3 linked regions of the Lytechinus pictus genome follow. The protein of the gene in region 1 interacts with the protein of each later gene in a pairwise test. Links are inferred from orthologs where the notes say so. Each region holds a gene or a part of one and is shown in the gene's direction. Other genes may lie near its edges. The genes, in order: TRAF3-interacting protein 1-like, cell division cycle 5-like protein and structural maintenance of chromosomes protein 4-like.

Evidence for each region.
Region 2: the proteins of TRAF3-interacting protein 1-like (region 1) and cell division cycle 5-like protein interact in a two-hybrid assay, tested with the Homo sapiens proteins (2 studies listed by BioGRID and IntAct). The link is inferred for Lytechinus pictus from reciprocal best matches to the Homo sapiens genes TRAF3IP1 and CDC5L.
Region 3: the proteins of TRAF3-interacting protein 1-like (region 1) and structural maintenance of chromosomes protein 4-like interact in a two-hybrid assay, tested with the Homo sapiens proteins (2 studies listed by BioGRID and IntAct). The link is inferred for Lytechinus pictus from reciprocal best matches to the Homo sapiens genes TRAF3IP1 and SMC4.

What each region holds. Positions count from the first base shown.
Region 1 is NC_087247.1:57,292,474-57,296,231, forward strand, and holds the start of TRAF3-interacting protein 1-like, read left to right. Parts: upstream 1-1,004; 5' UTR 1,005-1,175; coding exon 1,176-1,298; intron 1,299-3,758.
Region 2 is NC_087248.1:5,496,433-5,500,190, forward strand, and holds the start of cell division cycle 5-like protein, read left to right. Parts: upstream 1-1,341; 5' UTR 1,342-1,491; coding exon 1,492-1,536; exon of another isoform or gene 1,537-1,679; intron 1,680-2,516; coding exon 2,517-2,620; intron 2,621-2,770; coding exon 2,771-2,932; intron 2,933-3,758. Other genes in the region: glutamyl-tRNA(Gln) amidotransferase subunit A, mitochondrial-like, read right to left, coding at 323-482, 1,222-1,245.
Region 3 is NC_087260.1:4,780,629-4,784,386, reverse strand, and holds the start of structural maintenance of chromosomes protein 4-like, read left to right. Parts: upstream 1-1,340; 5' UTR 1,341-1,378; coding exon 1,379-1,570; intron 1,571-2,065; coding exon 2,066-2,260; intron 2,261-2,899; coding exon 2,900-3,079; intron 3,080-3,758. UniProt on the Homo sapiens protein: Central component of the condensin complex, a complex required for conversion of interphase chromatin into mitotic-like condense chromosomes.

The sequences.
Region 1 (3,758 bases):
GGCATTCTGAATACATTTGTTTAATGGAACATTATGGAATACACGTAGCCGGGACACGTAGACAATATGAACTTGGCAAATCAAACAATGTGACCACGCAGCGTGAGCTTAAAATGCTGATATGTAGACCATAAAATGGACATTTTACAGAGCACTTAAATTTGTAAATGAAAAAAAATAATGAAAGCTCGATGTCCGAGCTAAAATATGTTTTGTATATTGACTTCAAAACTTGCTCCATATCAGCCTATTGAGCAAGATATGAATCTCATCGAACAGGCAATTCTGGCGCGAAGCGCAAGAAAAAAATTTATAAAGTAACATGAAGGATTTTTTTTTTGCAAGTCTTCCCCTCACATTATATCATTCACTCGTCTTCCTCCTCTTATTTCCTCTTCTTTTTTTTCTTCTGTCTTTCTTCTTCTTTTCCTTTTTTCTTTTCTTCTTTCTCCCTTTTTTTTTTGCTCTGCCATTTTTTTTCAGGGGGGGCACCTGGGGGGGCACACCAAATCTCAGGGGGGGCACGTGCCCCCCCAGGCCCCCCCGTAGCTACGCCACTGCACTGGCGTTGTGGCGTGCGCCTGTAATCCAAGCTATGTGGGGAAGTTACAAATTGATGCAGAGGTTCGAGCCCTGGTCACGTCTTTCGGATGGTGACGTTAAAGGTCGGTCCCAGACGTAAATAATCATATCTGATTGATACACGTCTGACAAAACTCAACTACACACACACACACACGATGATCAATATTGTCTAATTTTCTGGCATTTGGCGCAAGCCTGTTTTTGAACCCCTCACAAAAACGTCTTGTGTTCGCTCAAGCATGAACGGAACTATTTTCTTTAAAAAAAGCATTAGAAAGATAAGACATCAGAGCATCTATTAACATCAAAATATAGACATCATAATTTGAAACAAAATTTTGATAGACTTTTCTAAACTGTCCCGTTTTTTTAATACGCACTTTTTAGTTACTCGCCCTCTACGGCCTAGAGTAGGAGACAAATTCTCCGTTGTGAAATTCCAATTACAATAATTTGTCATCGAAATGGCGTCCCGTTTCTAGGAAAAAACCGGTTACCAACAGGAGTAACGAGCCTCATCTTGTTCGTTTTCGTGGAGAATCTTACCCAGTTTCGGATAGAGATATGAGGTGACATTCTACTAGAACATAATGGGAGAGGAATATATTAAGAAAACCCAGGATTCTCTTGGGAAAATCATAAAAAAACCACCGATGACAGAGAAGCTGCTGAAGAAACCTCCATTCAGATTTCTACACGACGTTTTCACAGAGGTAAACTAAAACAAGTTGGATCTCGATTCTATCGAACGTGTAATTGTAAAGTGCCAATGGATTGAATGTCAATGCAATTTAACTTCCACATGCAGTGATTCTGTGCACATGAAGAAATTACGATGCAGACGTCATACTCATAGATAATTTCACCCCTGCATTTCTTGTTTGTTATCTGCTTTGTTTTGTTTTATGATGGTGGGCCCCAACCAAGTCTGCGCACCTAACAATTTGATTTTGAGTTAAGATTTAACATGAAATTCTTCTTATTTCACAAAATCTTTCAGTTAATAATGTTCCTTAGGCCTATATTATTATTAGTAAGTGTCCCAAATTTCTCATTGAAAAATGAAAGAAAATAAAGGATTTTCTTGAAAAAACCTTGGGCAGTCATTTTCAGATTGAAAAAAAAAATGGTATGGTAGTGGATCGTAGAACTATTACCGAACACCTTTCATGAATTCAATCATATCAAACACACTATTCTCATAAACTTCACCAAACTTTCACCATGAATACACAATTACCTACAAAATATAAATATGTAAACATTTTGCCGAAATCGTTTGTCCTATTTACGATATTAGCTTCCAATCGGACCCCTCTTCGCATGTGAAATATTTTGGTCACTTGAAAAAGGTATCGTATTACCGAACGTGTGTTTTCTATGGGAAAAGTTGAGAAAACAACAAAATCACTGATGCGCTATTTTGACCATATCTTATTATTTTTCGAATATTAAGACTTTGAAATTGTGTTTTTGACAATTTTTCATCATCTTTCTATTCAAGTTCTCTTTGAAAGGATGTTGCAAAATTTTGAGCGTATGGAATTATTTTCTGATGCGTATGATGCGCACGTTCGGTAATACAAGACCGGTCGGTAATACAATCACTCACTATACCGGTATGGCAGTGTATCCTATTGCCGGACACCTTTATTTCAGTGCTTTAAAAATGACAACTAGAGGAAATACAATCAAGAAAAAAATCACACTTGCTATTCCAAATATTATGAAAACTATGAATATGATAAAATTATTTTCTATTTACCAACCATTTTCTTTGCATCGCAGTTGACGCATACCCCTCCACGAAAAACAATTATTTTCGTACGCGACAAATTACATCATGATTCCGGACGCGCGCCGGACGGGTAAAGATATCCTTGATTATAATGATGTAAGAACAAATTTGTGTGATTTTTTTCTTCTTATTTCATATCATGAGTAAATTCTAATTTTTTAATTGCTTTTTATATTGAATATGAGCAGATGTTGGTAATAAATTTGTGTTTGATAACTTATTCATTTTTTCTTGTTAGCTGCATGTTCCATGGCACTTTCCAATAATATATGCTCGCGTTCGTATCGTGATGCTCATCAAGTTCTATCGATGCGCTGCCGATCGACGGCTCTACTCACGGTAAACCTCCCGCACAGGTACCTCGAGAACTAGCCGTCGACGATCACCCACAATACACCACACCTCATCATTCGATCGGAGGAGTGGACGAGATTGAAATTCGGCAAATCAGGCCCATATTTCCGTTATAAAATATATCAATTGTTAATGCAAAACTATGTTATATGATATTTTAAGCATTTTCTGTCATTTTAGAGATAAATAAGGTAAAAGTTTGATTTTTTCGCCTTGTTTTTGCAATCTTGTTTTACAACCAATGTATGTATTGCTATGTGAAATTGAATTGCGGAAGTCTTACAGTACGAAATTGTTTTTGAACGCAGTAATATGCGCGTCCGGAATCATAATAGTGTCCGGTAATACAATACGTGACTATACCCCATGTCTGCGCACTCATTCACTTTGCACACGATTCAGGGATTTTGATGAGAAAGACTGCATTTCGTGGCCGTCACATGAAATGCCCTAAATTCATTATTTTCCATTATTTTGAGTCGGATTTTTTAATGAATACCTGTCTATGTATTGCATGTGTAAAGTCTGTGTTCGTTGCGTATCTTCTTTTACTAGAATCGCGCAGATATGCGAGTGCGCAGACAAGGGGGACTGCGCAGACTTGGGGGAACTTGCCATATAGGTTCTAGACAGGGTGACCAGATTTTACAAAATGAAATACGGAACAATCGACGAGTGGATCGACCAAGCTGGATGGACCGAGCCAGGTCTTAATAAAAAAAAATATCAGCAAAGAAGGCTACACAATATTGGGCCTGTAAACAAATTGTAATGAAAAGGAAGGGAGGGTGAACAAAAGATGAAGGAGAGAAAGGAAAAGAAGAAAGAAAGCAGATGAAATGTGTGAAAGAAAAAATGAAGGAGAAAGGAAAACAGAGTAAAAAAAAAGGAGGAAGAAAGAAAAAAATGTTTCCGTCATTCTTTGAAAAAGAGGAAGGAAGGGAAAGATTAAAGAATAAGGGAAAATAATTGGAAGGAAAAATGAAAATAAAGAATGAAAGAAAGAATGAAAGAGAGGGAG
Region 2 (3,758 bases), on another chromosome or scaffold:
AGAAATCTGCTTTCCATAATTGAAATTTGTATTTGGAATAAAAAAAAAAACCTTCACATAATCAGCAGTCTCTTATGAATTAAAAGTTGTGTGAAAGAAAATATAAAAAAAAGATTGACAAAATCTACCTAGATTGTAACATAAATTTTTCCACCAAAAATATTTTCATCTTCTGAAGATGTAAACATAGTCAAATCTGAAAAGATAGAGATTATGATAGTTTAAATGAATAACACAAATAAACTAGATTCATATAAAAAAAATTCAATCTTAGCCATTGGAAAATTTAAGACTAACACTGTAACAGTAAAAGTGAAACTACCTTTATTTATTTTGTCTTGGACTTTCTTTGCATCTTCCAGTCCTTGATCAAAGCACTCTGTTACAATAGCATTCAGCTCTTTACAGCGCCTTGCCCTCTCTGCACATCTGGAACAGAGCTCAGTGACCGAAAGCCGACCATCACGTAAGCGAAGAGCAATCTGCAATGATGGAAATTTAAAAAAATGAAACTTTGATTTGAAAAATAAACTTTTCATGCTTCAATCTACATGTATATTTACATCTGGAAAATAATATTAATAAAGTTAAGTCTTAAGGCTATAGTATATCTATGTTCCGCAACTTTGACTTTGAGTGGATTATGTCAAGAACAAAATTATCAAATAAATCAAGTGATCACCCATCAGGCGATTATTAGCCCCTCAAGGCTCAAGCTCAACTAACTTATAGTATACCCAGAAAATAGTTTTTAAACAGGTAAGGAAATAATTTAGATCCCAAATTGTTTGGCATTTATGTAGATCTTATTCTAATTTTTAGTTAGAAATTATGGAATTAACCGAACACACATCAACTTAATTAAGTCTTAACCACATGTATGTATGGTGATATAGATCTAGGCCATAGACTATAGTGACTGATAGATTTGCATACTGATCTATGATATGCCGCCCCCACCCTTTCCCCTCGATCACATGCTGCAGTCCCAGGCCCAAACTTGCCAAAGTCAACAAATTCACGAGTGAAGAGTAATCAATATTGCAATAACATAAGCTCTCACAATTTTTTGAGTTTGTGGGACTGAGGTGAACAAAATAATTCCCTGTAAATTAAAAAAAAAAAAGTCAATTTAAACATTTACTTCAGAGAAATACATACTACTTTTACATGAACAAAGAGCCGAACAAAAGATATAACAGAAACATAAATTATATTTACCTCACGAATAGATAAACCGAACATTTTTCGTAAATCTAACTGTTATTGGAAAAGTCGCAGCGCACTCAACTGTCGCGAGAGAAAACGTAGATTTTTGTCCAGTCGTTTTATCAATTATCTTTAAAATGCGCGGCGCAAAAGTACGTGCATTCTCTCTTTCTTTTCCGGTTAGCGCCTAGCGCATAGCTAGGAGAATAAACTACAACTCGTTGCGTGATATTCTCCCTTTTCACTTCTCAAACCTGAATTTTGACAAGAAAGACTGTGAAAATGCCACGAATCCAGATTAAAGGAGGTGTTTGGAGGAACACTGAAGTAAATATTTATGTTTTAGTCTTATTCTCCCTTAAAAATATGTTAGTTTGAGTTAAAATCCATCAGAAATTTCAGTTAAATCGGCGATCTTTGCAAAAAAAACTTGCATGTTTTGCAGTGTATGACGTGCTTTTTGAGTGTGTATTGTGCATTTTAGGGTAGTGTGAGAAAGAAAATTCAAAATTGAAGGTGTTGAAGGATCAGAAATTCAGAATTAAGGAAAAAGAAATGGTTTTAACTTTTATTGTGGCAAGTTTAACACCCATCATTAATGGCATGCCTCATTAATTTAAGTTAAATTAATTTATTTCAGTCATCAGTCACTATCACTCAGTCATTTTGATTCGAAGTGGAGACCGTCCCGATGCCAGGACGTTACTGGGCCAGGGCCAGGCCCTTGGCCTTCATAAAAAATGGCCAACAGAGAATTTAAAAACAAGGGCCATCAAATTGAAATACATTATATGAACATATTTTTTTTTAATGCACCAAGTATAGAAGACATCACGTCGAGACGGGAGATCTTATGGGACACTCTTTATTTTTTTTACGGAGATTACGGAAAAGAATCCGTGTAACTTTTAGAATATTTTGTCTAGCTACAAATAGGTCAGTTTTACCCCTAATTCATCATAAAATTTAATTTGTTTATTGGGGTAAAAATGTTTTAAACAAAAGGATTTAAGGCGTTTTAAAACAAAAAAACTTTAATGTTATAATACAACCCTGTTTTAAAGATTAAATGACCTCAGTCCTCCTCAGTCCACATGTCTGCTGCTTGTGAGGCTTGACTTACTCTTCTGGTGAGAATTTATTCATGGATTTTAAGTACATTTAAGTGCAGGTAATCAATGTATATCCACATGGATTAAGATGTATTTCGATATAAATTAGAAATATTTATTAGTATGATTTCATAATTGAACTTTGAAGGGTTTTATTTTTCAATAACCTATTATCCTATTTCTTTTGTGCATTAGGATGAAATCCTCAAGGCAGCTGTGATGAAATATGGCAAAAACCAGTGGTCTAGAATTGCTTCACTGTTACACAGGAAATCAGCTAAACAATGCAAAGCAAGATGGTAAGTTACATCAATTTATCATGGGGATGTAGTGTTTTCTTAAAACTGTCCATATGGAAGGTATTCCTAATTCCTTATCAAATGTGTAGATATTTCATTTGCTTGTGCGTTGAAATTAGAATTCAGCTTTTCTCTTGTTCTTCATCTTAGGTTTGAATGGCTGGATCCGAGTATCAAGAAAACAGAATGGAGTCGAGAGGAAGATGAGAAGCTCCTACACCTGGCTAAGCTCATGCCTACCCAATGGAGGACCATTGCACCCATTGTGGGACGTACTGCAGCACAGTGTCTGGAAAGATATGAAATCTTACTGTAAGTTACGATCTCACTCTTCAGTGAGATTTTAAATCTAATTTATAGGCCTTTGGAGTTTGAAATGGTTATCAAATTGTAATTCTTGTGCTCTGATTACTTCTGTATTGTGCAGTTTTGTTCACAATTGCTCTGCCAAGCAATGAGATTCAATTTGTCGTAACTCATTTATGAATGTATCATTATCTATTGCAAACCTATTGATGTATTGGCTTTGGTATCTATATCATCACTTATACATGTTTAAGTGTCTCTGAATACATAACAGTTATGTATTCAGAGATTTGAGGAACACATGCGTAACAAACCAATCATACAGCATGTATTTCGCATTGAAATTGAGACACAGAGGCCATACTGTTTGCTTGCTTGGTTGTAATAGATATAACATTAACTTTTGATGGAAAATGAATGAGTATTGATATCAAACTATGATTTAGGCTCGTACCTTTGTTTTAATAAAGCAACAGCCTTTGTGGAGTTGTCATGTTCAAGTGGTCAAAGGAACCCTATTACACATGAAGGTACAGGGTTCAAAACCTGACCACAGCACATGTGCCTCTGAGCAAGGCAATTTATTGTCACTGCCCTGTCATGTCTTATGAATGGCTACTTTAAAGGTTCGTCCAAGATAAAATAATCCTGTACGATACACATCTGTAAAATCAAAAGTCTCATGAATACAGATGAAAGTCTTGACTTCAAGTTTGAGAGCACACATGGGAAATTTACTTCCTAATATTACCTTTTTAGATAGATACATGTATGAAATATAGTATTTTAGAAAGATGTTTTTAACCTTGAGTAACTAGTTTCTTTTAGAACT
Region 3 (3,758 bases), on another chromosome or scaffold:
ACCTTATTGACATGGACTGGACACACCGCAATGAGAGATCGGAGCGGGGTATAAATACACAAAGTATATAGTAAATGAATTTATAAATTAAATTTTTGGCATTTTGTAAAATATTGTTAAGTATACTAGTACAATAAATGAAATGGGAAATTTAAATCAGACAAACATGGATCTAAACATTAATAAATCCATTTAATACACCATGGTCATTTTTGCATTCTCATCTACATGTACATGATCTAAGTTTTCCATCGCGAGGATCGCCCTAAAAATGTCAAAAAGTTTCTATCTGACCGATGTTAGTGATCGTGTATGGTAACAGCGTGTTGCCATTTTGATGATTTTGAATAGTCACTGACAAGAACATCGTCATTTTTTCGTCAAATATTAAAAATCCTAGGCCCTTGGCCTTGCTCGGCGATGAGATCATATTGAGATTCTGCCTGCACCGTACACGTACTGTACATGTACGTACATGTGTACTATCGCTGTTGCGTGCGTGATTTGTTCAAAACACTGACCAAAGTAAATCTTTGTGCATACTTGCTGGAGCGCGGCGCGGGCGCATTGTTGCATGGCCATGGCTGGGTTGATTCTACGAGTTTGACTAACGTTATGGTTGAGCATGCAGCATCATTCCATTCACAAGAAAAAAAGAAAAGATTTACAGGTATTTACAAGATACCGGGTATACAAGTAATTGTGCGAGTGAAAAGCTTATATAAATGTTTTATATCAGTTTTGAATCTAGATCTATGTCAAAATAGTAAAATAATAAATTATTTTAAGAATTTGATTTTCAAACGCGGGCCAAATTTCATAACGCGGACGGGCGACGGAAAACTCAACATCGAGTTTCAGCGGCCTTACCTTGATGTATTCTTTATTAGCATTATTATCACAGACATTGCTCGAAACTTACCTCAAAATTTCCTAAATAGTGAAAGATACTCCACAAAATGTGCTGGAAAATGCATATTGGTCCATCCCTATATGCTATACTGTGTGGGCTAGTGGCTAAAAATAGGCATTTCAAAGTCTTTAAATGCTGACCTAGACTGTGTGAGCCTCTGAGTGGGGCAGTGGAAACATGTCACATCAATAGATAATCAACTTGGCTGCCAGAAAATGTGAAGAAATCACTAAGTTGGTCTACATTGTTCACTCAAAATATAGAAAGAATATTCGAGGCCAACTAACCAACGGTATTGACATTTTGGACACATGTCTACAGCACAAATCTAGTGCCATTTTCTGGCCTACCCTAGTAATAGTATTGTGTTCAAATAATTCCTTGAGACACTGTAGAATCAGTCAGTTTATTTATTGACTCAGTGCTTATTTTTTCCTTATCTATATTCACCAGGACTGCAACAAGATGCCAGTGTTAGCGGAACCAGAGCAAGGCAAGGCTGAGGGTGAAGCAGAAAGCCAGCCCATGGACACCAATGAGTCCATACCTCAGGAACCCTCGACTCCCACAGCACAACCCAGGCTCCTGATCACGCAGATTGTGACTGAAAACTTCAAGTCTTACGCAGGCAAAGTAGTCCTCGGCCCGTTCCATAAGGTAAGTTGGTGTAGAACATGAAGCAGTCTTGGATTGTCCCTATGTCGAACGTTTCCATCTAAAATTTTGTTGGGGACAAGGCCAGAATTAGAATCCGGTTGCAGAGAATGTCCATTTTGATAGCACAAGTTTCACATGTGACAGAATTGTTATTGATTTTCAGCTCTATTGAAAACTACTGTACCAGGATTTATAGTTGTGAATATGTATGTACTAAATTTCTGCCCTGCTTACCTGAAAAGAGAATAAAGGAGTAAGAGAGAGAGAGAGGGAGAAAGAGTTCAATCCAAGTTTGATATTATTCCAGAGAATAATTTTTCTTCTCGAATTGGATTAGCATTTCTGGTTGTGAGAGATTTCAACTATGTTCTGGTTCTTTTTAGTCATATATACCAGAAAATAATTCAGAAATTTTGTGGAGTAATCCTAAAAAAATGTGGAGTAATTTGTGATGTGCTACCAGGAAAATTATTCCACGGCTGTATTTATATGCAGAGTTTCTCTTGCATTATTGGGCCGAATGGAAGTGGAAAGTCTAATGTCATCGATTCCATGCTGTTCGTCTTTGGCTACCGTGCTTCAAAGATTCGATCCAAGAAACTGTCAGTTCTCATCCATAAGTCGGAGGATCACAAGGACCTGAAGAGCTGCACCGTAGCTGTCCACTTTCAGAAGATCATTGATACAGGGGTGAGTAAGAGGTTTTTTTAGGAAACTTATGAAAATTATGTTGGTTTAACTCCGGCATACAATGCATAATCTATTGTGATAATCTGATATTAAAGAAATTGTAGTAGCATTTGATATGAATATTCCTACCTATAAAACCTTATTAAAAAGATACCGATCAAAGTTCCGAATAGTGATATACACTGTATGATCTAATTGAAATTCTTGCATTCCTGTCGAAAAGATAATGAAAGCATATTCAATTCCAAATTGTAATGACGTTATCATCAACTGCAACTTAAAGATGATTTGAATACTACTCAGGTCAGAAGGCTTGCATCAAAAGAGAATTTGAATTTTAGTATTCCTCGCATTTACACATATATGCCAAACTTCAACTGGAATAATTTTACTTCTTGAAACTTTCATATTTTATGAAAAATTCATTTCTTTGTAAATCGTACCGTAGTTGAATCGTGTAGGGTGAGCAACTTTACGAATGACTGGTGATCCTTTCTTGAGAAAAGTTATAAATGCGCACCAAATAATCATGGGTGTGAATTTAGCTCATGAGAAATGACTCGGTCATTCGTAAAGTCGCTTGTAACTTTGGAACTGCTTTGTGAAACGCCCCTCGATGTATTTCCCTATATTGAATAGGCCGGGGTCGATGAGTACGAAGTGGTACCCAACAGTCAGTTTGTGGTGTCAAGGACAGCGCACAAGGACAACAGCAGCAGCTACTACCTGGACGGAAAGAAGGTCAACTTCAAAGAATGCACGGCTCTCCTCAGGCAAGCTGGAGTAGACCTCGATCACAATAGGTTCCTCATCCTACAGGTCAGTAGCGTAATAAGCCAAACATTTTAAGGGGGCCAGAAATGGTGTATGGGGCAAAATTTCTTTAACAGCTGCGAGTGAGTCTAAATTTTGACCTTTTTATCACAAAATCTAATTTTGTTATCAATAGAGTTTGAAATAATATGTAGAAAAATAATATTATATTTCAGCTCTTTCCTTGCCAATTCCTTTCTCCCTGTTTTCTTGGTCGTGAAAATTTTTGGGGGTCCATGGCCTTCCAAGCTCCCCCCCCCCATTCATTTGTGTGCCAGTGCTATGACCTAACACTGCATGGGGGGGGGGGGGGGGCAAAGCTACATTAGCATAGCAAATACATGAGGATGATGGGCAATTTTGCCCCTATGCCAGCTCAAATCGCCCCTAAAATGCCATAAATTGCATGCTGTGGGGTAACCATCCAACAATATTCAGGAATAAGAAATTTCAGCTCTGAGTGTAATGAGAAATTAATTTTCTACATTTGGTAGAATAATGGTATTTACATTTACTGCACAATTTGCTTACTGGTTGCATAAAACATATGCCCTGAAAGTGAAAGAAATAGCCCTCAAGATTCAGCAATCACCCTCGATGTGAAGGGAAAAAATGGTCCTGTAGAAATAACACTACCTACCTTGAGTTAGTCTATATACTCACTTGTATCATCTGCAGAAAAATG